Linked DNA regions of Xenopus tropicalis. The protein of the gene in region 2 interacts with the protein of the main gene of each other region in a biochemical or structural test. Links are inferred from orthologs where the notes say so. Each region holds a gene or a part of one and is shown on either strand. Other genes may lie near its edges.

Region 1 (4,528 bases), on a different chromosome or scaffold from region 2:
TCCATCTTCTTTCCTGCTATTTGCTTCTATCAGTTACCTGACTGACTTACAATAAAAAGTACATATGTTATAAAATTGCCACAATACAAGGCTAATTAGTCAACAAAGTCGATTCACATTGCATGGCAGCTCATCAGTGTATTCTGTATTAGAACTTAATAATCAGCCCTGTAGAAAGGTTAAATGACAGCCAACAACCCATAAACGTTGCTTCTTGACGGCAGCAGCCCAGAGCACACATCAACAGGGTCTTACACTATAATAAATATGCCCCAAAAAGTATGTTTAGTGTCACTAGCCTGGACTGACAGTTGCTGATGCTGGCAAATGCCAGAGGGGCTGCTATAAGATGCCATAGAAGGTTACTCTTTATTCGTTGGTGAGGGCTTTATTGGGCCCCTATGTACATGAAATTACAGGGCCTATTTTAAATCCCAGTCTAGACCTCGTGTCACTGACACTAATGGGATGGCTTACACAATCCAAGATAAAACTTTAAAGGCCTGGATTATTACTGTTGTACGGCTGCTGAAACTATTTGTTGGTACAGTAAGTTCAAAATATAGCATTTGATGCTATATTTTTTTTAAGCTTTACTACCTCTTTAAAACCGATGTTTTGGTTTTTTTTTTAAAGAAAATGGGGCCATTTTATTTATTAGCATGCTGTTCAAAATCATTAGCACCAGTATGTGGTGTAATGTGCTGGGTGGCCTGAAATGCCTGTATGTGTGGGTGTGGAGTAACAGAATATGTAGTCAAGCTATCTAAAATACAACAATTAATCATGCTTTATGTATGATATAGTTACTTACTGTATGTTTTATTTTTTGTGTGGCATTAGAAAAAACCCTAGCAAATAATTCTCCAATTACTTTTGCTACCTACATGCTAAGAACACACTGACCTTGTCCATTGAGTTATAGCTGGGAAGATTCTTCATATTTGCACTTTAGGAATAATCATGGATCTGAAATATGTGTTTGACATCCTAATAAACTGCTTTAACTGGAGTGAGAAGAATGTGACTCTCCAGTGTCTTGTTTTAAATGTGTTTGTATGCCGTCCAGGCTAACATGGTGCTTGCACACTGTAGAGAAACACTTGCTCACTACAGATGCTGAAAAAGTCTGACCACAGAAAAGATACAGTTTTTATTAAAATTTAAAATTTTGTATTAAAACTAATGAACTTTGATATGAACAAAAAATGGCATAATGAAATGATTACTGAAACATTATAACTTATTTATTATACAAAATGTAAGTTTGATAAGATATGTATAACAACAAAGGTTGCAAAACAACAAAATAAAAGAGGCCCTGTCCATCACATTATACTGTTTTAGTAGAAATATATTTTATATACTATCTTTATAAAATGATTTGAATGGCATATTTAATCTGCCATTTAGTGCACACCCTGTAATAAACGCAGAGACTCCCAATAGCTTGTATACATGATTTTATGATATTATACCATTAATTTCTTCCTGACAGGAAAGAGGCCAGACCTACTTAGTATTAGTTACCATATGACTTACACACTCATACCACAGTTTATTTTTAATGATAAAACAGGAAATTAGAATATCATCATGTAAACATGTAAGAAATATATTTTTAAAGATTTCAGATCAAGATGCAATACAGATGCTAGTTTGGCAGATTGGTGGCTGTATAATATGATTGGCTGGATGTTAATGTGAGTGACAGGCATAGTTCAACGGATTCTATTTTGCAGGAGGTTTTGAATCTCCATGGAAAGCCAACATTCCAATGTAATTTAAAAAATTCAAGATATCTTTGGATCTTCATATCTCATCAGTTTGGGGTTCCTATTTATACTGTTATTTATTGTAATAGATGTCATATATTTTATTAGGGATATATACACAGGATTATAACTAGCAGACGTGAAACTGATATTCAGTACAAAAAAACAGATGCTAGGATTTATTCCATTCATAAATCTGCTAGCTGCACTGGAACACACCTCTTTGGAGAATGTAGCTTTTTTAAAGATTCCAACCTGATGCTTGGAAACAATGTAATCTCTGTTATTCATTGTGGATTAAAAAAAAAACTTTTTTTTACCCATCAGACCATATTTATAAGTAAAGTATGGTGGAATATGTGGGAGTATAAAATTAAACGTTATAGTTATAATAACCATAATATTTTTACAACCTATTGTAGCAAAAACTTGATATCATTCACATTTTGTCTTTCAGACTGGAGCAGGATATTGGACGACTGGAGAGTGAGGAATCACTTATATCTGCGAAAGAGCAAATCCTCAGAGAAAAACTAAGAGAAACAGAAATATCTTTTGAAGATTTGCAAAAGGTAACATTAGCACTCTAGGTAAAATCATGGCAATTTTTTTGCTCATTGTGTGTTTTGCACTAGTTTAATTAAGGTCTTCAGGTAAACCCCATGGCATTGGAAAATACTAAACAGAGACAACTGACTCTAAGAGCATTTAAATATACACTATGGGGCTGATTTACTAACCCACGAATCCGACCCGAATTGGAAAAGTTCCGACTTGAAAACGAACATTTTGCGACTTTTTCGTATGTTTTGCGATTTTTTCGGATTCTTTACGAATTTTTCGTTACCAATACGATTTTTGCGTAAAAACGCGAGTTTTTCGTATCCATTACGAAAGTTGCGTAAAAAGTTGCGCATTTTTCGTAGCGTTAAAACTTACGCGAAAAGTTGCGCATTTTTCGCGTAAGTTTTAACGCTACGAAAAATGCGCAACTTTTTACGCAACTTTCGTAATGGATACGAAAACTCGCGTTTCTACGCAAAAATTGTATTGGTAACGAAAAATTCGCAAAGAATCCGAAAAAATCGCAAAACATACGAAAAAATCGCAAAATACCGATCATTACGAAAAAAACGCAATCGGACTCCATTCGACCCGTTCGTGGGTAAGTAAATCAGCCCCTATGTGTTTTTAATGCATTCTATTACCATTGACCCATACATTACAAATGTAAAAGAACATTTGCAAGTTTATTTACAAAGTTTGACAGACACTCTCCTATGATTAGAATCTGATGGGACTGCATACATATTGAAAGGCCAAGCTGATCACTGCTATGTCATCAGTTTGCTTGGAACTACATGGCCACTCCGGGCCAGTATGACCTTTGACAAACAGTTACCACTATACAGTCACTATACAAATGCACAATTAAATAATGATTGCAATTTATTGTTCTATTCTGAGAATGTGCATGTGTGATGGCTATTTACTACTAGTCATATATAAATAGGTACCTCCTACTGTTTCTAGGTAGAATGGGACCTAGAGTAAGATGTCTCTAAAACCCACACTGCAGTTGGGTGGTGCTACTACTACATAACATCCCAGTATATAAGATAATTCCACCACATCACATAATTTTTTTACTTCAGTATTGATTGCTATAGCATGAAAATAGTAATATCTATTTTGTTTCTTTTTGCAGAGTTTGTCAAACCAGGAGACAGGTAAGAATTTAATATTACTGTTCTATTATTACTCTTTCATGCTAGAAGACCTAATGTGCTTTCTAGTTGAAAACAGAAAGCTTCTTCTAAATGTTGCAAAGTAAACCAATTGTGTGTCTGAATCTAGGGCCAAACATTCTAGAGATGGGATATACGAAGCACACATATCTTTTTTTAAAATTATTCTTATCATGTAGGCAATAAAAAACATTAAATCACATCTGATTTACATTTTGGGTAAAAAGGATCATTTTCTGGTAAGCAGTAGAGAATCCCTTTTACACAGGGGAAGATAAAATGCAGCTCTGTGTCAGCTTTGTTAATGTGTTACTGGCCCCAAACTGACTGGCATCATACAGGCAATGCCCTGAGTGCCACTAGTGCTTGTGAACAGCCTAGAAAAGCAGCCAGTGGAAATCGAACTGACAGTACAGCCTTTGGGTTATCCAAATTCAGAGTATCATACTTAGGTTGGCCAGTAGTTATTTATTTTTCTAAATGCCCTCAAATGTGTTTCTGATCAGGTGCAGATAATCTAGCAACTTCAGCGAAAGACACACATTCAATTTGATGAAAGAAATCTATTTCAGTTTCCCCACAGACCTTAATGACCAAGTGATAAAAGTTTCCCATCAAGATGAAGCAGTATGTGATGGTTTAATGCAGCTTGAAGAGACCTGTTCCCTCCTACCTCTGCTAATCTATTTAATGCCATTCACAAGGCAATGAATCTGCATTTTGCTGCCATCCAGTTACAGAGTAGAGAGCTTTAATTCCCATTGTTTAGACAAAGTTGACACACTGCTGTTTAAGCACTGCTATGGCTTTCTGACTATACAATGCTGCTGCTAACCAAACCCTTTTCTTCTCTTTTCTAATACCAGATGCTGTGAACTACATTTACTCTGAGATCCCTGACCTCACAACTTTTAATTTACAAAATACAGAAACATCCCTTTCTGGTGACGGAACGACAAGGGTAGCTGGTAAGTATATTACACTGTTACATTTAAGAGTAAGCTT
Region 2 (4,528 bases):
ACAGACCCCACATAACATGTCCTGACCCTGCCACTCTGCTAATAACAGAACCTTGTCCCCAGTGTGGCTCCTTATATTGTATTACTTACTATGCAATCTGGTTATTTCAGAAATGACATAGAATTTATAATTCTTTATATTTATAAAGTTTCTTAAACTTTTTTCAAATGTAATTTGCCAGATAGTTCCTCTCTAACCTTTTTTTTCCAAGGGAACCGGCTTACATGCCTTTGCAAGGCAAAGTATTGTCTGTTACTGGAAGTAATTTCACTTATTTTAAAGGGGGATCATGAATACCCACCCTAAATATTGTCCTGAATCATAAGTTATACTTCCCTATTTAAAGTATGACTGTTTCAAAGTGTTTCCTTATTTAGAAAACTTTAGGAAGACATATCAGTAGTGGCTTGTTAATCATTTGTATGTGTTTGCCTTTACACCACCTCATTGTTGTCTAATATTATCTTAATGAAGTTTGCTCTATTTCTTTGTAGTCGCTATAAGCAAAATGGGTATAAAAACGTTTGGTAAATAGATATGAATCAGCATCAGCTAAAATGCTTGTGAATTTATTTGGAACATTGCTAATGTCTTTATCTGTTACAGACAAAAACAGGTCAAGAAAGTAACCAGGAAGTAGAGATAGCACGTTGTAAAAGTGGACAGTATTTTGGAGAACTAGCTCTCGTTACCAACAAGCCAAGAGCAGCTTCGGCCTACGCTGTGGGGGACGTAAAGTGCTTAAGTAAATATTGACTCCTTCGCTTTAAACCCACATCTTTATTAGTGTTGTGAATCTTTTATAATTTATGAGCAAAACAATTGGGGCTATTTAGATATATTTAATGCAATTAAAATGTTTATAAAATAGCCAGTGTTGTAAATGTAACCCTCTCAAGTTGAATTTCACACAAGGCAAATTGCCAGCAGCAATTAAGAATAAAAGGGCAGCTCAGAAATGGCCATAAAATATCAATTACAATGAAGAATATATTTAAAAGGGATACTGACACTGTCTTGAAGTTTCCTTGTCTTTCCAGCTACTAACTGTATGTGCTGGGCCACTTTATCAAATATTGTAATATTTATTCATCAATTTATTGGAATCTCTGTCAGGAGCATTGACAAATTTTATTCAACTAAATGACAATCTGCATGGGCACATTTTGGTGCTTCTCTGTTGGCAGAGAATATGACCCTTGTGCCATTGGCCAAAGTTGTCTTTTCAGTCTGTAGTCACTTAAGAATCTGTTCCCAGGAGCTCCTAAAGTCAGGGTCGGACTGGGGGGCATGCATAAGTGAAACGCGTCAGGGGAGGACCGGGGGAGCAGCAACAGGCATCTGGTCGGGCCCACTGGGTTTTTTCCCGGCGGCCCAGTCCGACCCTGCCTAGAGTCATAAAGAATATTGTTCTTCAAAGGCTTTAGTACCCATTCATAAAACACAAGTAAGAGCATAAATCTGTTGATCTCTCTAGTATTAATGCAGCAAGCCAACATTAGATGGTGTCTTGGTAACTAGAGAAGAATAAGGTTACCAGGCCTGATAAGCTAAAATCAAATGTTTTATTTCTGTTTAAAAAATGTTTCCCCCTTTTATCTTTTTTTAGTTATGGATGTGCAGGCATTTGAACGATTGCTGGGCCCCTGCATGGACATTATGAAGAGAAATATCACACATTATGAGGAGCAGTTGGTTGCATTGTTTGGTTCCAGCATGGACCTTAGGGATCCAGGAAAATAGGCACAGTTACCTCATTGCCTTCTCTGTTCAAGACACAGAAAAAAGCTTCCTGTCAGCAACACAACAAACAAGGGACAAAGAGCACTGTGGAACAGCTACTGCTGTTGTCTTGAGCACTTTTTCTTTTTCACCCCCCTCTTTATTTTTTAAACAGAGAGTAAAGCTTCAGCAGCAGAGACCATGGTAGAAATCCAGTCTGGGCCATTTTGCTGCTGAGATCCCATTATTAGACCTCATAGAAATACGTGCCTTTCTTTTTCCTCCCCTGGTTAAGAATGGCATAATAGCCCTCGTTGCGATACATTTTGTAAGTGCCTACTCCACAGCCCAGTGTCTGAGCATAACAAGTAGAATTAAAAAACAAAAAAAACATTTTTGTTATTTACTAAACATGGCTGCCATTTTTTCTAGTCAAAACAATGAGGTTGATCGGCAATAAGGTTTAATTTTACTTGGAAACTGTTCTTGGGTTCAGCACTGCAGCCTATTAATTGCAGTGCTGAACTGCCGATATTTACGAATCATTTTAGTCATGTGGCGCCCTCTGCAGCTTGCCTTGGGAAAATGGTGTTTAGCCTATGCAACCTGTTCTATAGCTAACCATTTAGTCACAGCAGTTTTGTTCCGTGTTTGAGAGATTCTGCCATATATAAGAACTTGGAAAATGTTGCATTTTAATAGCTCTTCGGATAGCCACAAAGATGTTTCAACAATAATAGGTCTGAGTATTAATTTGTAAAATGTTTTCGCATAGCTGGGCTTCCCTCCCTCACCCCCACAGTTGGCCTGCTCAGTCGGAACTCTCGCTCCCTTAGCCGTTCCGTATGATTTAGGTTCACCTAGTAGCAAAAATGTTATGAGACAAAAAAAAAAATAAATCCTGTATAGTCATTTTAGAACATTTTTTATCTTTGTATCTAAGAAGAGAATGTTAACACAAGTTCCTATTGTGGCTCCTATGGATTTCCTTTTTTTTTTTTCCCCCCCAATAGGATATTTTGTTATTGAAATCAGTCAAGCACCATTCCTAAAATATTATTCAAATACAAATGACATCCACACTGATAAACTCTATATATCTATATAGTCTTTCTCACACACACTTTGCACTCCCATTTTTATTCAGGAGCAACATTTTAATGCCTTTTTTCCCCCTTTTTACCCCCCTCGAATGTATGTTAAGAACAATGGCAAGACTTTCTGCAGCTTGAGTGGAGCGTTCCTTACGTTAGGAGAAAGTAATACAGTATGTCGTGCAACATGAACCAAAATGATTATTGTATTCAATGAAGCGTTTGTAGCGTTTCTCAAGCACTCCAAGAAACCTCCGAACATAAAATTCTAAGTTACTTGTCGTGTTGGTGGAGTCTTTCGTATTGTTCATTTAAATATACCACTTTTATTTCATGGAACTCTGTGAGACTCACAACGAGCAAATTCAAAGATTTGTATTTATAAAAGTAAAGTGTACTACTAAAAAAAAAAAAAAAAGTATTTTGCCCTAAATTAAATATAGTGGATTTGTTTGTTTTTTTTTCATTTTATGGAAATTTTTTTATAATAAAGGCAAAATAAACTTCCCAGAGTTTCATGCAAGAAAAAAAAGTTGTTTAAACTGTCCATCTTGATATTAAAAAGAAATGTCATTCGTTTTATGACAAATGAACTCTTAAGTGGTGTATATTTGGCGGAGCCTCCTCTAACGGTTATTTAAAAATTAAAATTTTTTTTTTGTGATAGCTAAATTTAAGGGAGAAGGAGATTTAAGGGGGTAGTTCACTTTTAAGTTAACTTGTCCTATTCCTAGCAACTTTTCAGTTGGGCTTCATTTATTTATTAGGTGTAGTTGTGGAATTCTTTGCAGCCTTCTTCTGACTCCTTCCAGTTTTCATATTGGGGTCACTGACCCCGGCGGCCAAAAAACTGTTATTTTTTTATTACTTATTATTCTATCCAGTCCCTTTTGTTGTTATTATCCAGTATCTCATTCAAACCAGATTGGTGCTGAAATCTCAAACTGGGAGTTGAAGTTGAGTTGAACAAGAAGCAAAATAATAAAAAAATGAAGACCAATGGCAATTTGTGTCAATATATCACACTCTACATCATACTAAAAGTTAATTTTAAGCTGAACAACCCCTTTAAAGTCCAGTTTTATGGTTCTCCCTGGTTTATACGTAGCTGCATTTTCCCCCAGCAAACACTGGGAGTGCTTATTGAACTTCCTGCTTCCTGTTTCTCTCAAAGTACTTGAAAAATAAGAAATTCCAATTCCACAGATCTGAGAGCTGTTATACAATTTTCTATCGTATGACTAAAGCCGTTTTAACGGTCTGTCTGCCCTTTGTCAAAATTGTAACTGCATCGAATGACTCTAAAGTCTAGTTTGCATGTTTTCTTGCCCAGAAGCGGTGTCGATGCAGCATGCAGGGCGCCCTTAGCATGTTTTTCACTCCGGCACGCCTGCCCAAGTACACGATTGTTCGATATAACCAATGATACAGAATGAAGTCACTGGCGTCCATATTTGTCTGCCATTCTCTGTATCAGCAGAATATCCGTCCGGTTCTTGGGTTTGAACACACTCCAGTGCTTTATTCAAGTCTTTTCAACCTATTCGGAGGATGAGTTTACTCAATCACCTCAGTAAAAGAAATCTTTCAGTGAGTAAACACTCCCACTTTTTTTATTTATTGAATGCTGCACTCGGGCAGTGGTGAGACAGCAGCATAGTAATCGTATTTATCATTGTGCTCGTTTGTACTGCTGTCTCTTTAAATGCTTG
Region 3 (4,528 bases), on a different chromosome or scaffold from region 2:
ATAGAAAATCAGGCAAGAACAAAGAACTGCTTCTTTATACAATACACTATAAAGAATGGCAATGCTGGATTTAAGCACACTGGGGGAACAGGGTTCCAGATAAAAGATCCCCTAGCAGTATGCCATGAGCAAACATTACAATGATTTCAAATAAAATGCTTACAAACACAAATACAACTACAACATTCATGGGCAGTATCTTGGGAAAGAGATTAAGCTACTGTTCTGCATGCTGATTGTATTTTTCCAAGTCATTATGCAGCACCTTGGTTTCCACTTGTAGTTAAATCCTCTTCATCCAAATGCTCAAAAGCGGTTACAAAATCATCCTCAATTGAAGAAACAGATTGATTTGTATCATCTTCCTCACTGTGCGAAGCTTTTCTGAGTGTGTCACTCAAGAACTGATGATCCATTGTGTACCTTATTCCAGTTGTATATTTGCTCATCAGATTAAATAGGGAATCACTTTTTAAATATGTAAAGGTGGGAGATGACATGACACACAGTGCTCCAGAAAAACAACCCTTGAAATTAAAAAAATGGAAAAAAAGGTCAAATTTAAGCTCAGTATTACAATGGTAAATGCAAAGTGTAAAGGTTATTTTCATTTCACACTATTTGTTACTTAGAAACTATGCTGTTTGAGATGCAACCTGGAATTGTGTTCAATGTACTTGTAGCCAGCAGCAGTAACCCATAGCAACCAATCAGCAGGTAGCATTTACTGGTGACCTGTTTAAAAGCAAACATCCTATTGGTTGCTATGAGTTACTGCTCCTAGGCAAACTCTATGCCTTTAATTATATATCAGGGAAAATAGCTACTGTCATGGATACACTATGCAGCTTTTTCCCCCATAATTGTCTTTTTTGAAAAAGAAAACAAAAAACCCACCAAAAGGCTAATGAGGTTTTGTGGGAAATAACTGTGGGGGGAAAAACACAATAAAGAAAGAGCTCACTAGCATTTTCTTTACATTAATACACCTAATCTTGACTCTCAGGTGTTGAGAAATAAGCCCCAAAGTCTTGACAGTAGGGCAAACAAATACATGTTGCAGGTATCAAATTCAAAATGCATATATGTGCATATATTTTTAAATATATCTCAGTTTCAACATTTGATATTTTGTATTTTACTTTTTTTTAATTAAATGTAGGGTTTTTAATCATTTGCAAACCATCCTATACTCTTTTTTTACCCAATGTCTCATTTCAATGTTCCTTTTTAGGAAACAACAGAATTATTTTACACTACAATGGACTTTGTGACAAAAATATACAAACATAAAAAACAGGTTCATTAAAAACTGCAGTAGCTTAGTGATTTTCTACAGGAAGTGGCTACTTTCTACTTATGGCAATGAATGAGGGCTTGTCATTAGTTTCTGTTATACACACTCTATTAGTGTGAGTTGGTCAGATCTAGCTGGAGTAGTTCTGCGTTCCACCTGATACACTGGGTATGGAAACCTGCCGGTGAGACTAAATTTAAAAAGAATCTGTCTTAAACTTCCAATTATGTTTCTGTACAGAGTAACCAACCTAGTCCAATAGACTTTGTATGATCTACTCTGACTCGATTTGTCTGTTCATCAAAAATTTTATGGGATTCTGTGATTTTTATGGTGCACTTTTATTACCAAATTACACTGTTTACATAGCAAATAATTCACTCATTCATTTCAAATTTTATTCTTGAACCAACAAATGTATTTTTTTATCTGTAATACTGGTGTGTAGGCGCCATCTGAGTCTGAGCTTTCAGAAGGAGCCAGCACTACACATTAGAACTGCTTTCATACCAACCAACCAACCGTTTCTCCTACTCCCATGTAACTGGAGGAGTCCCAACCCGGACTTGGATTTCTTACTATTAAGTGCTATTCTGATACCTACTGGGAGCTGCTATCTTGCCCCCTTCCCATTGTTCTGCTGATCGGCTGCTGGGGGTGGGGTGATATCGCTCCAACTTTCAGCACAGCAGTAAAATGTGAACTGTGATCAGAGCACAGGTCACATGGCTGTGGCACCGTGGGAAATCAAGAATATTGCTAGCCCCGTGTGAAATTTCAAAATTAAATATAAAAAAAGTCTGTTTGTGTTTTTGAAAAACAGATTTCAATGCAGGATTCTGCTGGAGAAGCTCTATTAACTGATGTGTTTTACCATTTCTGTGAAAGCACAGCTAAGGGAGAGTCGCGGGTAGCAGTGCTACCTGTAGAGCAGCAGATGTTTAAAGGGATTTCATATGATTGACTTTTCAGAGTGTTACACAATAATTTCTATACATAGGCCACTGGCACGGGGGGCCACACACACTGGGTTCTAGTAATTCAGATCAAATGCACAAGACTGCAATAAAAATTCATGCAAAACACAAAAGTGCAGAACGTGACAGGGACGATTACCTGGGTTGCACAAGATGTTGTACCTTCTTTGCCATGCTTTAGCAGGATAACTTCGCAGTCATTTAAACTGCAGAGATGAAGTGATCTGATCAGTTCTGGCAGATCCAGGTGTAAAGCTTCAACATCCTGTGTGCAAGAATGACACAAGTGTCAGGTGTGGCTTCAGATATCATTTACATAAAGAAAATGCTCATTTTAGTGGCACCGCTAATTAGCAGGTAGGGGATTTATACTTCATGCCAATGAATCTTATCAGACTGGCTCCAAGCTTTCAGCACCATTGCTCACTGACGTTCATAACTGAACCTCACAGAATAATGGAACCAACACAGACAAACCACATTTCTTTTCCAGAATGTATGCCATTTTTTGCAGCCCCTTGAAGAACATAAAATTGAGGTTTAACTGTACTAATTTAAAATTAAAGGTAAACAAAAATATTGCTTAAAAACATCTCACCTGAAGAGGCTCTGACTCCTCAGAAAGTCCAAGAAATGTAAGCTGGAAGGTATAAAAATCGTGAAAAATTTCAATGAAAATCTTCCCTACCTAGAACCCACAGCAGAGATTTTTTTAGATTTATGTAAATAAAATTAAATGGAAAATTTGACTTTTTTTAAACCGCAATTAACTGGTTGTGTTTAGGTTTTTTTCTTAAATTGCGCACAAATTTTGCTGCCATTTTTTCCACAATTCTAATTTTTTTTAAATTGATAAATTGCTCTTTCAAAAAGTCCCCTGTGCAAAATAAATGTGGGAGGAAGGATGAAGAATAATAAATAAACTGACAAACCTCCATTACATTTTCTTTCTTGACACCTTTGAAACCCTCTGCAATTCTGCACAGTTCTTTCTTGCTTTCCAATAGTGACTTCAGTGACATCAAAAAGGCATCGCTTATATTCTGTAAAGAAATACTCTTGTAAGAAGCCAAACAAAGTCTCCAATTATTACATACATGCAATGCTACAAAATGTTGTAAAATATACACAAATCTCAAATATAGGGTGACACTTATACCAGAACTAGCATTATGTGTATCTCTTCAGGCTGTTAGCATACTTCTGTGCTTTTTCCTACTGCTGTGCCTTATCCCTATTTAGCCACTGTGTCCCCAGTGATATGGGCCAGTGATATGGGCCAGCGATATGGGCCAGCGATATGGGCCAGCGATATGGGCCAGCGATATGGGCCAGCGATATGGGCCAGTGATATGGGCCAGCGATATGGGCCAGCGATATGGGCCAGCGATATGGGCCAGCGATATGGGCCAGCGATATGGGCCAGCGATATGGGCCAGCGATATGGGCCAGTGATATGGGCAGACCTCTTCTCATGCTCAGTTACAACCCAATGCTGGTAAAGGAAAAGGGCAAAGAGCAATGGAACTACAATGCAAGGCATAATCTGAAAATATTCCACTTGACAAATGCAAAAGGAGAAAAAAAGGAAGATGCATAATTTTCATATTCCTAAAGTAGTAGCCCCAAAGAGTTGCAAGGTTTCTAACACTGGAAATATTGGAATTTGCTGTAGAAGTTTTATTCATGAAAAAGTCACTAAGGAACTGTGGGAAATGTTTTGGTAAATGAGCTCATTAACACAATTTCATATGGTCAGGAAAAGGTTAGTAAATGTGAGAAAATTTGACTGCTTGGAAAATGCCAACAATCTCAAATGCAACTTTAATAAGTCTTCCCCTTAGTGAGAAAGAGAAATCATTACTTTTTAAACCTTTAGGAATTTGCACAAATGATCTGAGGCAAAGATTTAAGAATCATCAAAAATGTGTGTTATTGACCATATTGATTATGGTATCAATATATTTCTTCATTTGTAAACCAGATAAGAACAAGAAGTTACTTGAACAGGAACAAAGCCCCAAGAATCATCCAGAACTGACTGAAAAGAATACTAAGTGGAAAGGACCTTAAAGAAGAATGAAAGGTAAAAACTAAGTAAGCTTTATCAGAAAGGTCTATGTAAATACAGCCATAAGCACTCACAGAAACGCTGCACTGAGTCCTCTATCAAAATAAACACAGGAGATCTTGTCTCCTTTTTTGTAAACATGTTCTTCAGTATCTGACTTCCTCTCTCAGAAAAATCCTTTAT

The links. The genes of interacting proteins can lie anywhere in the genome.
Region 1: the proteins of prkar2a (region 2) and palm2 form a complex in vitro, tested with the Homo sapiens proteins (2 studies listed by BioGRID, with this or other methods). The link is inferred for Xenopus tropicalis from reciprocal best matches to the Homo sapiens genes PRKAR2A and PALM2AKAP2.
Region 3: the proteins of prkar2a (region 2) and akap11 form a complex in vitro, tested with the Homo sapiens proteins (2 studies listed by BioGRID, with this or other methods). The link is inferred for Xenopus tropicalis from reciprocal best matches to the Homo sapiens genes PRKAR2A and AKAP11.

What each region holds. Positions count from the first base shown.
Region 1 is NC_030677.2:108,640,024-108,644,551, reverse strand, and holds part of palm2 (paralemmin-2 isoform 1 (palm2)), read left to right. Parts: intron 1-2,232; coding exon 2,233-2,347; intron 2,348-3,483; coding exon 3,484-3,505; intron 3,506-4,389; coding exon 4,390-4,491; intron 4,492-4,528. UniProt on the Homo sapiens protein: Binds to regulatory subunit (RII) of protein kinase A. May be involved in establishing polarity in signaling systems or in integrating PKA-RII isoforms with downstream effectors to capture, amplify and focus diffuse, trans-cellular signals carried by cAMP.
Region 2 is NC_030680.2:136,456,217-136,460,744, reverse strand, and holds part of prkar2a (cAMP-dependent protein kinase type II-alpha regulatory subunit), read left to right. Parts: intron 1-606; coding exon 607-745; intron 746-1,609; coding exon 1,610-1,743; 3' UTR 1,744-4,528. UniProt on the Homo sapiens protein: Regulatory subunit of the cAMP-dependent protein kinases involved in cAMP signaling in cells. Type II regulatory chains mediate membrane association by binding to anchoring proteins, including the MAP2 kinase.
Region 3 is NC_030678.2:132,798,676-132,803,203, reverse strand, and holds part of akap11 (A-kinase anchor protein 11), read right to left. Parts: intron 3,318-4,528; coding exon 3,207-3,317; intron 2,915-3,206; coding exon 2,873-2,914; intron 2,540-2,872; coding exon 2,414-2,539; intron 528-2,413; coding exon 266-527; intron 1-265. UniProt on the Homo sapiens protein: Binds to type II regulatory subunits of protein kinase A and anchors/targets them.